Macaca mulatta: one gene and its partners. The protein of the gene in region 1 purifies or fractionates together with the protein of each later gene. This does not show direct contact. Links are inferred from orthologs where the notes say so. Each region holds a gene or a part of one and is shown in the gene's direction. Other genes may lie near its edges.

The links. The genes of interacting proteins can lie anywhere in the genome.
Region 2: the proteins of TXNIP (region 1) and WWP1 purify together in Homo sapiens (affinity purification with mass spectrometry; 4 studies listed by BioGRID and IntAct, counting the BioPlex papers as one, with this or other methods). This does not show direct contact. The link is inferred for Macaca mulatta from reciprocal best matches to the Homo sapiens genes TXNIP and WWP1.
Region 3: the proteins of TXNIP (region 1) and NLRP3 purify together in Homo sapiens (affinity purification with western blotting, with the first as the bait; 4 studies listed by BioGRID). This does not show direct contact. The link is inferred for Macaca mulatta from reciprocal best matches to the Homo sapiens genes TXNIP and NLRP3.
Region 4: the proteins of TXNIP (region 1) and WWP2 purify together in Homo sapiens (affinity purification with mass spectrometry; 3 studies listed by BioGRID and IntAct, with this or other methods). This does not show direct contact. The link is inferred for Macaca mulatta from reciprocal best matches to the Homo sapiens genes TXNIP and WWP2.

The regions. Positions count from the first base shown.
Region 1 is NC_133406.1:119,305,212-119,309,343, forward strand, and holds the start of TXNIP (thioredoxin-interacting protein), read left to right. Parts: upstream 1-1,332; 5' UTR 1,333-1,639; coding exon 1,640-1,889; intron 1,890-2,438; coding exon 2,439-2,511; intron 2,512-2,624; coding exon 2,625-2,772; intron 2,773-2,884; coding exon 2,885-2,987; intron 2,988-3,119; coding exon 3,120-3,376; intron 3,377-3,485; coding exon 3,486-3,642; intron 3,643-3,755; coding exon 3,756-3,907; intron 3,908-4,036; coding exon 4,037-4,072; 3' UTR 4,073-4,132. UniProt on the Homo sapiens protein: May act as an oxidative stress mediator by inhibiting thioredoxin activity or by limiting its bioavailability.
Region 2 is NC_133413.1:96,905,414-96,908,913, forward strand, and holds part of WWP1 (NEDD4-like E3 ubiquitin-protein ligase WWP1), read left to right. Parts: intron 1-1,787; coding exon 1,788-1,842; intron 1,843-2,193; coding exon 2,194-2,278; intron 2,279-2,402; coding exon 2,403-2,531; intron 2,532-3,500. UniProt on the Homo sapiens protein: E3 ubiquitin-protein ligase which accepts ubiquitin from an E2 ubiquitin-conjugating enzyme in the form of a thioester and then directly transfers the ubiquitin to targeted substrates.
Region 3 is NC_133406.1:1,600,925-1,604,424, reverse strand, and holds part of NLRP3 (NACHT, LRR and PYD domains-containing protein 3), read left to right. Parts: intron 1-931; coding exon 932-1,102; intron 1,103-2,785; coding exon 2,786-2,956; intron 2,957-3,500. UniProt on the Homo sapiens protein: Sensor component of the NLRP3 inflammasome, which mediates inflammasome activation in response to defects in membrane integrity, leading to secretion of inflammatory cytokines IL1B and IL18 and pyroptosis.
Region 4 is NC_133425.1:65,564,776-65,568,114, forward strand, and holds the end of WWP2 (NEDD4-like E3 ubiquitin-protein ligase WWP2), read left to right. Parts: intron 1-144; coding exon 145-241; intron 242-458; coding exon 459-531; coding exon of another isoform or gene 532-535; exon of another isoform or gene 536-564; intron 565-887; exon of another isoform or gene 888-958; coding exon 959-1,058; 3' UTR 1,059-2,839; downstream 2,840-3,339. UniProt on the Homo sapiens protein: E3 ubiquitin-protein ligase which accepts ubiquitin from an E2 ubiquitin-conjugating enzyme in the form of a thioester and then directly transfers the ubiquitin to targeted substrates.

The DNA.
Region 1 (4,132 bases):
CAGCTGGCCAAACGAAACCAGCAAAGAATGAAACCAACAAAGGGAGGGTAAGGGTCTCTTCTGGCTTGAATTTATAGTGCTCTAGTGACCGATCTTTCTTCTCTTTTCCTTCTTACTGTTTTCTAAACCGTTTAGGGAAAAACCTTTGAAAATATTTTTAAAAATTGTTCCTTCAAACAGGTGTATGGCCATCTCTCCACTGGAAATTTGGATATAAACAAGAGGACTTTCTTGCTTTTAACCAGATTTATGGATGTATATTTGATTTAGTGAGTTGGGAGAGGGGAGGGAGACAAGAAAGAGTGAACATAACTCTGGAAGAAAGTGAAAAAAGTGAAGCATCCTTGTTCCCCGCCCCCCCACTTCCTTTTCCTCCAGAAGCAGGTAGGGAGTGCGAGATTATCAGCGCCTGGACACACCTCACTAAAGAGGTAATGAGGTAAATGGGAAACACAGACAAAGTGTTCCCCAACTTTGCAGGCAGAAATTGAAGAGATAACAGGATAAGCAACAGGATGTAAACACGCCTGTCCTATTTCCGTGCCAGAGAACAGAGAGAACAGAAGAGAGGGTACAAGGGGCGGGGGGTGACGAACAGCACACGCACGCAGCCCCCAGCCCTAGCCCCAAGGGATTGGAACGGGAAGTAGAAGACATCAGTCCTACAGCCGCAATGAGGCCTGAAAGTTCTCCTTTCCCTCAGAGATGGTGGTGTTTTTTTACATTTAATAGGGATGCGGGGCAAGAGAAGGACAAAGGGGCTGTTCCTTAACAGTAACACCAAGCATTCTGTGCTCCACGGCCCCAAACCTAAAAGTATTCTTGGAGCTATGGGATTTTCACACACTTGCTATTTACGAGCCACGAATAAACGACAGACTATAAAGTAATTGCACTGGCTAAGACTAGGCATGAAATTCCCTCATAAGCACATTTTCTTTTTACCTCAAACCACCGCTCTCAGACCAGAAACGTCCACACCCGCCCTCCGATGGCCTGTCGCCCTGGCTAGGTTTTAGGGTCAGTGGTATCCTCCTTCCACTAGGCCCGGGTGAAGACTCAACAGCCCCCTCCTTCCCCGCATTCCTCTCCTTCCCCCCTCCCTGCGCCGCTCCCGAGCACAACAACCATTTTCCCCGCCAGGAGCACACCGTGTCCACGCGCCTCAGCGATCTCACTGATTGGTCGGGCTCCTGGTAAACAAGGACCGGGCAGCCAATGGGAGGGATGTGCACGAGGGCAGCACGAGCCTCCGACCCAGCGCTCGCGTGGCTCTTCTGGCCGGGGCTTCTATATAGAGCCGTTTCCGCCTGCTGCTTGAAACTAACCTCTCTTTCTCTGTCAAGAAGTGCTTGCGGAGATCGGATCTCTTCTCCAGCAATCGGGGAAAAGAAGACTTTTTCTCTGAAATCGCTTAGTGTAACCAGCGGCGTAAATTTTTTGGACGCCTTTTCGAAAACCTAGTTAAAATTCATTTGTTTAAATCTCATTTTATTTTTAAGCTCAAACTGCTTAAGAATATCTTCATTCCTTAGGAAGAGTGAAATAATTTACTGCAAAGGAATTTCCTCGATTTGGTGCATTTTTTTTTTTATTCTTCCACGGTCTTTTCTAACTCTCAAACCAACTCCGTCCCATCATGGTGATGTTCAAGAAGATCAAGTCTTTTGAGGTGGTCTTTAACGACCCTGAAAAGGTGTACGGCAGTGGTGAGAAGGTGGCTGGCCGGGTGATAGTGGAGGTGTGTGAAGTTACTCGTGTCAAAGCCGTTAGGATCCTTGCTTGCGGAGTGGCTAAAGTGCTCTGGATGCAGGGATCCCAGCAGTGCAAACAGACTTCGGAGTACCTGCGCTATGAAGACACGCTTCTTCCGGAAGACCAGCCAACAGGTAAGCGGCCCAATTCATTGTTGGAGGGTGAAAGCTGATTAGAGAAGAGAATTGAAAGGAATACACAAAACTATACGAAATGTTTTAAGTTGCTCAGTTTGAGTGGTGTGAATTGCACGTTGTTACTTCCTTTTTTCTAATTTGCAGACATTCTCCCCCCCACACCCCCCAAAAAAAAGGGTGGTTTGTACAATTTTTTATGGTGCTGTGTCCTAAAGGTGGTTCTGAGGGGCATTGCCTCGGATAGTTAAAAATCTTATGTGTGCATTAGTTGCTTATTCTTTGCCTACTTCCTGTTTGAGATGTTAGTGAAGAACTGTCCTGGGTGAATCTTTAAAAGCATTGCAGGGCAACCTGGGAACTTGCTGCCCAACAAAATACATCAGAATTTCTCTTTAAGAACAACATGGGATGATTAAAATACCTCTCTGTGGGACGAAATTAGGGGTACTTCAATACCTTGCATGCCACCCAAACATTCCTTATCACACAGATGCATTTTAAGTGTAACAGGAAGCCTAATGGCTACTCGATTTTCTTTCCCTTCAGGTGAGAATGAGATGGTGATCATGAGACCTGGAAACAAATATGAGTACAAGTTCGGCTTTGAGCTTCCCCAGGGGTAAATATCAGCTAAATGCATCTTTGAACTTTTCTGTCTAAAATATCTTGCCCTCCTTTGATCACTTACTGTTCCTTGGAGAGCATTTAAAAATTTTCATTTTCTTGACACAGGCCTCTGGGAACATCCTTCAAAGGAAAATATGGGTGTGTAGACTACTGGGTGAAGGCTTTTCTTGACCGCCCCAGCCAGCCAACTCAGGAGACAAAGAAAAACTTTGAAGTAGTGGATCTGGTGGATGTCAATACTCCTGATTTAATGGTGAGATTCATTTTAAAGATTATATTCTCCTGGGTCACAGGGATGATAAATCAGATGTCTTGGGCATTAGATTAAAGCATCTCAAAACACTTTTTTGTCCCCTTCTACATAGGCACCTGTGTCTGCTAAAAAGGAAAAGAAAGTTTCCTGCATGTTCATTCCTGATGGGCGGGTGTCTGTCTCTGCTCGAATTGACAGAAAAGGATTCTGTGAAGGTAAAATCCTAGTGCTTATGGCAGACAGATATAACAGGAACTAGGTTTAGGGGCAAGGGCATGGGACTGGGGTAGAGGAAATGTCATTAACTATACTGAGTATCAGTAAGTTTTCATTTTTCTCTTTGCTAGGTGATGAGATTTCCATCCATGCTGACTTTGAGAATACGTGTTCCCGAATTGTGGTCCCCAAAGCTGCCATTGTGGCCCGCCACACTTATCTTGCCAATGGCCAGACCAAGGTGCTGACTCAGAAGTTGTCATCAGTCAGAGGCAATCATATTATCTCAGGGACATGCGCATCATGGCGTGGAAAGAGCCTTCGGGTTCAGAAGATCAGGCCTTCTATCCTGGGCTGCAACATTCTTCGAGTTGAATATTCTTTACTGGTGAGTAGATGCAGGGTGGGTTCAGCAGAGAAATTGTTCATCTGTTACCATAACTGTCTTGTTTCACCAGAGCGCTCTGGTCTAACAAACTACCATCTTCCTTTTCTAGATCTATGTTAGTGTTCCTGGGTCCAAGAAGGTCATCCTTGACCTGCCCCTGGTAATTGGCAGCAGATCAGGTCTAAGCAGCAGAACATCCAGCATGGCCAGCCGAACCAGCTCTGAGATGAGTTGGGTAGATCTGAATATCCCTGATACCCCAGAAGGTGAGCCAGACCTAATGTCTTTTCTTCATTTCTGGTCTACCTGGGTTTGTAAAATTGTGATGGTCCAGCATTTCTTGGGCAGGCTTCTTACGTGGCCATATTTTCTTTTCTAGCTCCTCCCTGCTATATGGATATCATTCCCGAAGATCACCGATTGGAGAGCCCCACCACTCCTCTGCTAGATGACATGGATGGCGCTCAAGACAGCCCTATCTTTATGTATGCCCCTGAGTTCAAGTTCATGCCACCACCTACTTATACTGAGGTGAGAATTGTCATATTTACTGTTAAATTTGTCCTAAGCTTTCTATAAGAAGTTGACTTAGAGGGATTGCTAAACTGGTTTGTTCTTTTAGTTCTTACCTGAACTGAAATAGTCTGTTTCTTCCTTTAGGTGGATCCGTGCATCCTCAACAACAACGTGCAGTGAACATGTGGAAGAAAAGAAGCAGCTTTACCTACTTCTTTCTTTTTGTCTCTCTTCCTGGAC
Region 2 (3,500 bases), on another chromosome or scaffold:
TATCTTGCAAGTAATAGAATCTCCTTAAACACATTGAGGTTTAATTATCTCAGTACAACATCAGGTCTGGGGTAAAAGTCTAAGTGCTGCATTGACTCAGTAGTGTCATCAAGGACCTGGGTTCTTTCTGCCTTTATGCTCTGCCATCCGTATCACACTTCAGGCCTTTTACTTCGTTTATATGGAACTCTACACTGTGGGCCTCACATCCATAGTCTAGGCAAGAAGAAAGAGAAAGAGGAATTGAAAGGGCAGATGGCTCTGTTGTTGCAAGCCCTTGCCTTTTTTACTTAGTGAAGGATGCCCTTACCATGGCCTCTGCCTATACCTCACTGGCCAGAATTGTTCACTCTACCAGCTCAGCTGCAAGGGAAGGGGGATGGAATGATCTTTATGGCCACGTTTCTACCTCCAACAAAGCAGGGATTTGGTTCTCAAGAACAGGTGGAAGATAAATATTGAGTATAATTAACAGGGTCTGTTACAAGATTATATTCATCAAGATGCATTTACTTTAAGAAATTATTTTTCAGGTAATTATTTTTACATTTGTCATTATTATAAAATTCTTGATAGAATGCTTATATTTTCCTCAGAATATATTTCTAGGTTATAATAAGAATGGAGGCTTACATAAAAATGTGTTTTTATGTATGCATGAAAATATAAAAGATACTAATTAAAAGTTTATTTCTATAAATGGTACTGGAGTTGAGTGTTAGTTTTATTAGTGGGCATTTGTTTTAAAGAAAATTGTGATAATTGGTCTATTTTTAAACAAATAATATTGCCTCATTTAAACATCAATTTCCTGTATGTTCTTTTCCCATTTCATCTTCCCTCTATAGTTTAGTATGGAAGGACTGGGAGAGTAAAGTACTGATGCCAGTGTATTATTTTTAAATCATTTTAGAAAAACTAATAATTAATTTGATTAGTTGATAGTCTCCTCTTCATGACGTTTTATGAACTTTGTGTCTTGGCTGGGAGTGGTGGCTTACACCTGTTATCCCAGCACTGTGAGAGGCCGAGGCAGGTGGATCACGTGAGCCTCGGAGTTCGAGACCAGCCTCAGAAACACGGCAAAACCTTGTCTCTACAAAAAATACAAATATTAGCCAGGTGTGGTGGTGCATGTCTGTAGTCCCAGCTACTTGGTGGGGCTGAGGTGGGAGGATTGCTTGAGCCTGGGAAGCAGAGGCTGCTGTGAGCTGAGATCATACCACTACACCCTAGTCTGGGTAATAGAGCAGGAAGATCCTGTCTCAAAAAAACAAAGAACTTTGTGTCTTGAAATTGCTACATTTCCTTATTATGTAGATCGATCTATCTATCTATCTATCTATCTATCTATCTATCTATCTAATAATATAGATCTATTTTTGAGATAGCTTCTTGCTCTGTTGCCCAGGTTGGAGTGCAGTAGTAGTGTGATCACAGTTCACTGCAACCTCCACCTCCTGGGCTCAAGTGATCCTCCCACCTCAGCCTTCCAAGTAGCTGGGACTTTAGGCAAATGTGCCAACATGTCTGGCTAATTAAAAAAAAATTTTTTTTAATAGAGACAGGGTCTTCCAGGCTGGTCTTGAACTCCTGGGCTTAAGTAATCCTCCCACCTTGCCCTCCCAAAGTGCTGGGATTACAGGCGTGAGCCACTGTGCCCAGCCCCTTATCATATTTTTAGAAAATTATTATAAAATGTGATTCTGCCATGCACTTGGCTTATTTCCACTTCCATATTAAAATACTGTTATTTTATTTCTCTCCCCAATCTTTTCTCCAATCAGGCCTCAATGTTAGCTGCAGAAAATGACCCTTATGGACCTTTGCCACCAGGCTGGGGTAAGCCGTTATGTTTTTGCTAATGATCCGTAAGGGAGATATATATATCTCCATATATATATCCCTTATTTTATATGTATATCTCCCTTATATATATCCCTTAATATATACCCCTTATAATATATAATATATATTATTATTTATATAATATATAATTATTTATATAATATATATTATGTATAGAATAGATTATATATTGTATATATTCTATAAGACATATAAGCGATACATATATCCCTGATATATTTTTATATATATTTATATATAATATATAATAATCATATATATATTCCTTATTTTATATATAGATCCCAAATAGTTATTAAATATTATGGTCACTTTATATTTCAGAGAAAAGAGTGGATTCAACAGACAGGGTTTACTTTGTGAATCACAACACAAAAACAACCCAATGGGAAGATCCAAGAACTCAAGGGTATGTATATACAGCAGCCTTAAATCATCTTGCATATATCTGTAGGTAGAATCAACCAACCTTGAATGAGATATTTTTAGTACCTAGAAAATGTTCATCTTGTGATTTTAACTTTATCTTTTAGCTTACAGAATGAAGAACCCCTGCCAGAAGGCTGGGAAATTAGATACACTCGTGAAGGTGTAAGGTACTTTGTTGATCATAACACAAGAACAACAACATTCAAAGATCCTCGCAATGGGAAGTCATCTGTGTGAGTGAAAACCTGAGGTTCTCCTTTAAATGTTGCTTAGTGAGCACATGAGAGTTAGTCTCTAACTTATCCTCAAGTTTAGAAAAATATTTTACTTTTTGGTTCAAGAAAACCTACACAAGTGATACGTTAGTATAGCTGTCTTTGCTCTCATTTGACGATGGATTTGCAGCATGTCATTCCTTAATAATAGCAATGGCAACTATTTATGTAGTGATTACTATGTGCGAAGGATTGTTCTAAGTACTTCATAGGTATTAACTCATTTTATCTTCCAATAACCCCTTGAGGTAGATACTATTATTTTTCTCTTTACCAAGTGAGGAGAGATACAGGGAGTGTAACTAACTGTGCAAAGTTATAAGGCAAGTAGTGGAGCTGGTTTCTAACTATGACAGTCAGTCTGTCTCTTGACTCTGTGCTCTTAACTGCCACATGACACTGCTGCAATGAGATGGTCAGTGAAATGATTTTCCAGATTTAAAGATAACTGAATTAAGCAGTTGACAGATGTCTCCTTCATTCTTACTCTAAGGTGTAATGTCTTTGCATAACTAAGAAAGTAGAAGCAATCATAAAAGGTCTTTTGCAAATTTGTACCACCATATCTGTGCATCTCCTACCACCTCTCCTCCCTCCTGTTCTGTAGATGAACTGTCATTGTTATTATCAAAGTCTGCTCCCTCTGCTGGTACATTCGATTCCTACCACCACTTTTCTACTTAATTGCTCCAACAGTTACCACCTTTGTCTTGAATTATCAGGTTTTATTTCTCCACTAAATTATTCTTATCAGCTGTTATTTCTCCTAGATTTAAAAAAAAAAGCAAAAAAAAAAATTACAACTCTTCCCTTTACCAAACCAATGTGTTCGATTACACAGTTCATTTGTGTGTGTGTGTTTTTTTTTTTTTTTTTGAGATGGAGTTTCGCTCCTGTTGCCCAGGCTGGAGGGCAATCAATGATGTG
Region 3 (3,500 bases), about 120 Mb from region 1:
GCTTGAAGTTGGTGTAAGGATAGGGACAGAAAGGAAGGTGGTCTAACAGGCTCCAGGACCTATGAACTATTGCCCTGGAAAGAAACTAGAATGTCGTTCTCGCCCCCACGACAGGGATACATTTTTGTTGCTGGTGGTGGTGGTGACGGTGGTAGTGATGTGCGTGTGTGTGTGTGCATGTGTGTAACGGTGAAACCAATAAAGAATCAGAGCTGCAGCGGGGTGCGGAACCCCAGCACTTTGAGAGGCTGAGGTGGGCAGATCATAAGCCCAGGAGTTCAAAACCAGCCTGAGCAAGCTGGTCAGACCTTGTCTTTACAAAATAATAAATAAATAAATAAATAAATAAATAAAATAGCTAAGCATGGTAGCACATGCTGGTATTTGCAGCCACTTGGGAGGCTGAGGCAGGTGGATCTCCTTGAGCACAGGAGTTCTAGGTGGCAGTGAGCTATGATCTCACCATTGCACTCCAGCCTGTGCAACAAAGTGAGACCCTGTCTCTAAAAAAAAAGAAAAGAAAAAGAAAGAGAAAAAGAATCAGAGCTGCTTTTCCTTTCAATATAGATGGATGGCTGGGATGAAATCATCAAGCACAATGGGGTGACAATGTTGGTAAAGACAAGAAATAGCTGAGTGCAGCGCTGGCGAGGGCAGAGCCGACTGCGGGCACATCAACAGTTAGGAACACAAGGGAAGGAGGTGGAGTGCACAGGCCCACACCACCCGTTTCACTTACAAGCCAGGAGCTCACCATTCACTTGTCTGGGGGGTGACTGCAATGCACCCGGCACTGTTTATGGCCGGGAATTCACTGACGGGTGCTCCCTCTGCTGTGACTGGGGAGCCTGAGGGCTGACCTTGTGCTGTATTCCGGAGTTCTCTGGTCAGATGTGTTCTGACGCTTTCTGCCTCTGTTCTTGGCATGAAGGTTGGGGCGCTGCGGCCTCTCGCATGAGTGCTGCTTCGACATCTCCTTGGTCCTCAGCAGCAACCAGAAGCTGGTGGAGCTGGACCTGAGCGACAACGCCCTTGGGGACTTCGGGATCAGACTTCTGTGTGTGGGACTGAAGCACCTGTTGTGCAATCTGAAGAAGCTCTGGTGAGTTGAGCCCGTTCCCCAAAGGAAGCCCTGCCAACAAGGCATGTTTCGCACTCTGGCTTCAGTGAGGCCTGGGGGGCTGGAGTTTGAGTGACAGTGGCCTCGGCGGCTCAGGTGGCTGTGTGTGCTTGTCTCTGGGTGTCTGTGGCATTTCGGTTAGTTAGTGTTTGCTGTGGGGAATGTCACACACTCAACCCTGACAAGGGGCATAAGTAATAAAAAAAGAAGATGACTGCCTGTAGGGTGCCCACTGCCTTAGCTGAGAAAAAGAAGAAAACCAGTGTAATGCATTGCTTTAGAGGAGTTTTAGAATTTCATGACAAGCCCTGGGTCCTCATGTTGTATAAGAAAAATGGTGCTAAAGCAGTGCAGACACTCGATGTTGTATGCAGCCCTTCCCTGAATGCTTCTGGGAGACTTGCATTTTGAAGGAGAGAAAAAAACACTTAAAAATGGAAGGGCCAATTCTCACCCATTAGGATGGCTATTATTAAACAAAAGCAAGAAAACTAGAAAACAAGTATTGGCATGGATACGGAGAAATGGAAGCCATTGTGTATTGCTGGTGGGAAAGTAAATGATGCAGCCAGTGTGGAAAACAGCACTGCAATTCCTAAAACAATATAGAATTACTATTGAAGCCAGCATTTCCACTCCTGGGTATATCTGCAAAAGAGTTCAAAGCAGTAACTCAGCCAGGCACAGTGGCTCACACCTGTAATCCCAGCATTTTGGGAGGCCGAGGCAGGTGGATCACTTGAGGTCAGGAGTTTGAGACTAGCCTGGCCATCATAGTAAAACCTTGTCTCTACTAAAAATACAAAAATTAGCCAGGCGTGGTGGCACGTGCTTGTAATCCCAGCTACTCCGGGTGGAGGCAAGAGAATCGTTTGAACCTGGGAGGCGGAGGTTGCAGTGAGTCAAGATCATGCCACTGCATTCCCACCTGGGTAACCGAGGAAGAGTTAAAAAAAAAAAGAAGGCAGGAACTCAAACATGTTATTTGTACACCCATGTCCATAGCAACACTATTAGCACTAGCCAAAAGGTAGAAATAACCCAAACGTCCTTCAACGGATAAAGGGTGTTGAAAAGTGCTATATATGTACATTCAGCTTTAAAAGGAATTCTAGTACACACTACAACATGGATGAGCCTCAGGGACATTATGCTAAGTAAGATAAGCTAGGCTTGAAAGGGCAAATACTCTGTGATTGTCCTGATAAGAGGTGCCTAGAATAGTCAGATTCATAGAGACAGAAAGAAAGGTGGTTGCAGGCAATGGGAGAGTGGGGAACGGGAAGACATTGTTTAATGGTTATGGAGTTTCAGTTCGGCAAGATGAAAGGAGTTCTGGAGACGGTGGTGAAGATGGTTGCACAACAATGTGAATGTGCTTAAGGCCGTTAATCGTGCACTTAAAAATGGTTAAGATGGTAAATTTCATTTTACACGTATTTCACCACAATAAAGCTGAATGTAGGGAGCTGGGAAGATGTAGTATTGGTGCGAGCTTGTTATTCCGCCAGATGGAAGAGGAAATCAGAAGTGTACGTAGAGCTTGTGTCCACTCCCTTTCCATGTGTAAACTGGAGTAGAGGCAGTGGCAGGTACGGGTGCCTCCTTGTTCATGGTGGAGCGTGGGTGAGAGACATGACTGACATTCTGCCGTCTTTGTGGAAGGCTGGTCAGCTGCTGCCTCACATCAGCGTGTTGTCAGGATCTTGCGTCAGTATTGAGCACCAGCCGTTCCCTGACCAGACTCTACGTGGGGGAGAATGCCCTGGGAGACGCAGGAGTCGCAATTTTATGTGAAAAAGCCAAGAATCCACAATGTAACCTGCAGAAACTGGGGTAAGTCTTCATGGGTGTCTCAGCAGAAAAGTAACTTCTTTTCAGAGGTGAATTATGTGGAAAATGTGGATGGGGGTTACTCTGGTCAGGCAGAGTTGAAGGTAGAGTAAGGAGGTAAAAACATCAGAAATGGTTTGAAGGACTGGATGTATATAATGTATACTACTGCTAATGAGATAATTTATGCTAATTTATGATTATAGCATTAGAGTTTCTTAGTGTTGGAAAAAACCTTAGAGATTGTGCAGCCCAATTGCCCATTGAGGAAAAAAATTGTTTCCAAGGCACTCACATGAATAGTCACCCATTTTATGTGTGCATGCATGCAAGTTATCGTCCAGTGCGTGCAGCCTCTACACCAGGAAAGAGCTCTTACCCTGCAGCCTCTACAGTAGGAGAGGGATTTTACCCTGCAGCCTCTGCACTAGGAGAGAGCTTTTACCCTGCAGCCTCTTTATCCTCAACAGTGTCAGGGCTCAGCACCTTCACCTGTGTAGCCATGCTCTCCCAGGTACACAGGCTGGTTTGTTAGTGTCTCTCTTTG
Region 4 (3,339 bases), on another chromosome or scaffold:
GGTTGGGGGCTGTCATCCCCTGGCCAACCTGGCTCTGTGTCCTCAGCCCCAAAGAGGGGCCCCGCTGAGCTGGAGAGCTCCACGTTCGGGCTAAGTACTGGGCCCGTGGGTCGCCTGACTGTGCCTTGACTTGCGGACTTCCAGGTGGTGAAGGAGATGGACAATGAGAAGAGGATCCGGCTGCTGCAGTTTGTCACTGGGACCTGCCGCCTGCCCATCGGCGGATTTGCTGAACTCATCGGTACATTTTCTCTCGCCCTCTGGTGTCCTGGCTGGCAGTGAGGACAGCTCAGAGGGAGGGGGGAACCTAGTCTTTTCCTGGAAGCACGTCAGTGGGATGGAGAAGAGCTGAGGCCTCTGTGTCCTGGGGCTGAGCCCATCTGTGGGTGGAGCCGGAGGGTCCTGCTTTGGGAAGGCACGTCTCTGTTGACATGGGTGTGTTTTACCTTGGATCACAGGTAGCAATGGACCACAGAAGTTTTGCATTGACAAAGTTGGCAAGGAAACCTGGCTGCCCAGAAGCCACACCTGGTGAGCCTTCTAGTTTTAGTGGGACGTCGGGGGGCCTCAGACCCGATGAGCTCCTGGGACAGCCCAGTGGGTGTAGCAGCTTCTTAGCCTCGAGTCTGACAGCTTTTGCGTGGCCCTGGGGTGTTGGGTTGGAGAGATGGGGCTGTGATGGGCATCTTATCTGCCGGGTTTTACATATGAAGCGCTTCTGTTCCAGTAGTCCAAGAGCTACTGCCCTAAGTGTCCCCCCAACCAATTTCCAGCTGTCCTGGCCCCTCCCTTAACACCCCATGGTCCAGGTACCTGCAGTGTAAAGGCCTGACTGGCAGCCCCTGAGCCCTAGCCAGTGTGGCGCAAGCCCTGTGGCCCTGCTGCAGGCAGGCAGGGCGGGGCTGTCAGGGCCCTGGCCTCCTGGGGCTGACTGTCGTGCTTTCCCCGCTCTCGATAGCTTCAACCGTCTGGATCTTCCTCCCTACAAGAGCTACGAACAGCTGAGAGAGAAGCTGCTGTATGCCATTGAGGAGACCGAGGGCTTTGGACAGGAGTAACTGAGGCCGCCCCCCCACACCCCCCAGTGCACACATAGTCCTGAGTCCTCCCTGCCTGGGAGGCCACCGGCCCTGCAGCCCTTGGGAGGCCCCCGTGGATGTGGCCCTGTGTGGGACGACACCATCATCTCGCTTCTGGCAGAAGAGCCTGATCCCAGGAGGCCCTGCAGTTCCCCCCACCCATGGATGGCAGTCTGGAATAAAGCCCCCTAGTTGCCTTTGGCCCCACCTTCGCAAAGTTCCAGAGGGGTGACCCTCTCTGCAAAACTCTCCCCCATCCCCTAGACCCCACCCTGGGTGTGTGTGTGTGCAAGGGAAGGTGTTGCATCCCCAGGGGCTGCTGCAGAGGCCGAAGACCTCCCGGACTAGTTTGGCCAGGAGACCGGCTCCTGGGGTGGGCTGGGCTGTTCTGGACTGAGAGCCAAGGGTCTTTGCCAGCAAAGGAGGTTCTGCCTGATGATCGAGACGAAGTGAAGGTCTGAGGGCGACGGCCCTGGGGCGAGGCCATCTCCGCCTGCCTCCCTAGCAGGCAGCAGCAATGGAGGCTGAGTCGCAGGACGCATGCTGGTCAGTTAATTCATTCTCAGCAAATGAAGGTTTGTCTAAGCTGCCTGGGTATCCATGGGACAGAAACAGCAGACTCCCTCAGACTTTCTTTTTCCATTTATAAACTTGAAGCGGTTGTGTTGTAGGGTTGCAGTTTTTTTTGTTATGCTGCTGTCACTTTCTGTCCAGGAGTTGGCACCCCAGGCGTTCTGAGACCTTGAGGGACCCAGGCCTTTGGGTCCACGAGTTTCCCAAACAGCCACGCGTCTCAGGAACCTGCCTGGTGGTTCCGTGAGCTCAGGCGGGCCTGACCCAGCGGCGCAGCCTGGCAGGGACCTCGTCCCCGAGCCTGGCAGAGTGGGAGGGGTTGAGGTCCCGAGCGCCACTCCTAGCCTTGCCGCCTTCAATAGAGAAGAAATCCCTTTGCTAGATAGGGTCCCCCAGGCAGTCCCCAGTGGCGGGACACAGGGATCCGGCTGTGGAGCTCTCCCGTCAGCCCTTGGAGTTCCAGGTGGGCCTGCTGGTCCCCTGTTCAGAATGGAGTGCGGCCCGGCCAGCGGAAAGTGTCCATTCTGCGTAGGTGCTTTATCTGCACACAGGACGTGGAAACCAGCAGAAAGGCCCTGACCTGCTGCATAGCCCGGTCTGATTTCTGCAGTTCCCACCAGCCTCCAACCCGGGGACTCTGCCATAATTGGAATCTTCACAGGTCACATTGAAATCTTCAAGATGACCATGCCCCCCCAGGATGCTGGGGCAGTAATCATGGCAGACTCCCTGCCCGGGCCCCCAGGATTCTAGGACCCCAGGCAGCCCCTTGGCCTGGTCCCGGGTACCTTCCAAGCACAGTCTCCATGCTCCCAGATTCTCGACCTTTCCCTGGCCGGGGAGGTGCAGCCTGCGTCTGCCTGTGTCATGTGTGCTGATTTGAGTGGCTCAGCTTGCCACAGCGCAACCTCTTCTGTCCCTTTCAGTCATTTGCCGTACTTCCCTGCGGCACGCCACCACGGAAGCCGCTCCAGGGTGGGTCAGGGCGTAAGCTGCTGGTGAGGTTTGGAAGCATCAGGCTCACGGGTGTTCGTGTGTGTTCGTGCGTGTGTGTGCGTACGTGTATATAACTGAAGTGTCTGTACGGAATGCCCTTTGCTAGCCATGGGCTGGTCACCAGACTATTTTGTAATACCCGCCCCCTGCCTCGATATTGCCAGTTTCTTGTGCAATAAACAATCAGCAGCTGTGGGTGGTGTTGGTGTGGATGTTTACAAACCTGTGGTCCTCTAGTCAAGAGGACTCTGGTCCTCACAGACCCTCCAGGCCTGGATAGGGGTGGAAATTCCCTGACCTCGCTGGTTTTGAGAAGCCTGTGTGTCATGGACCGAGGCAGCCCCCAACTTCTGGGCTGGGCAGCTGAGTCCTGGCCCAAGGATCACCAGCTTCAGCCCCTGATCGGCCACCTCACTGCACCCTTTCGGGACCTCTGCGTCCCCCTGCCAGACCCGGGGGGGTCTCCAAGCAGTTGCTGTGGGGTGCAGAACAATAACAGCTGCAGGTTGGGGCTTCCGAAACTGGCTTGCAGGGAGAGTGTTCTAGGCAGTCATTCATTCAGGAAATACTCAGGTTTCGCAAGTTCCACGACGGTCGATGGTCGAGGGACTCTGTGATCTTGACCTCAGGGTCACGTAAAGGCTTGCCACCCACTGTTTTTGGTTTTGACAGATCACCATGCTGATGGGTC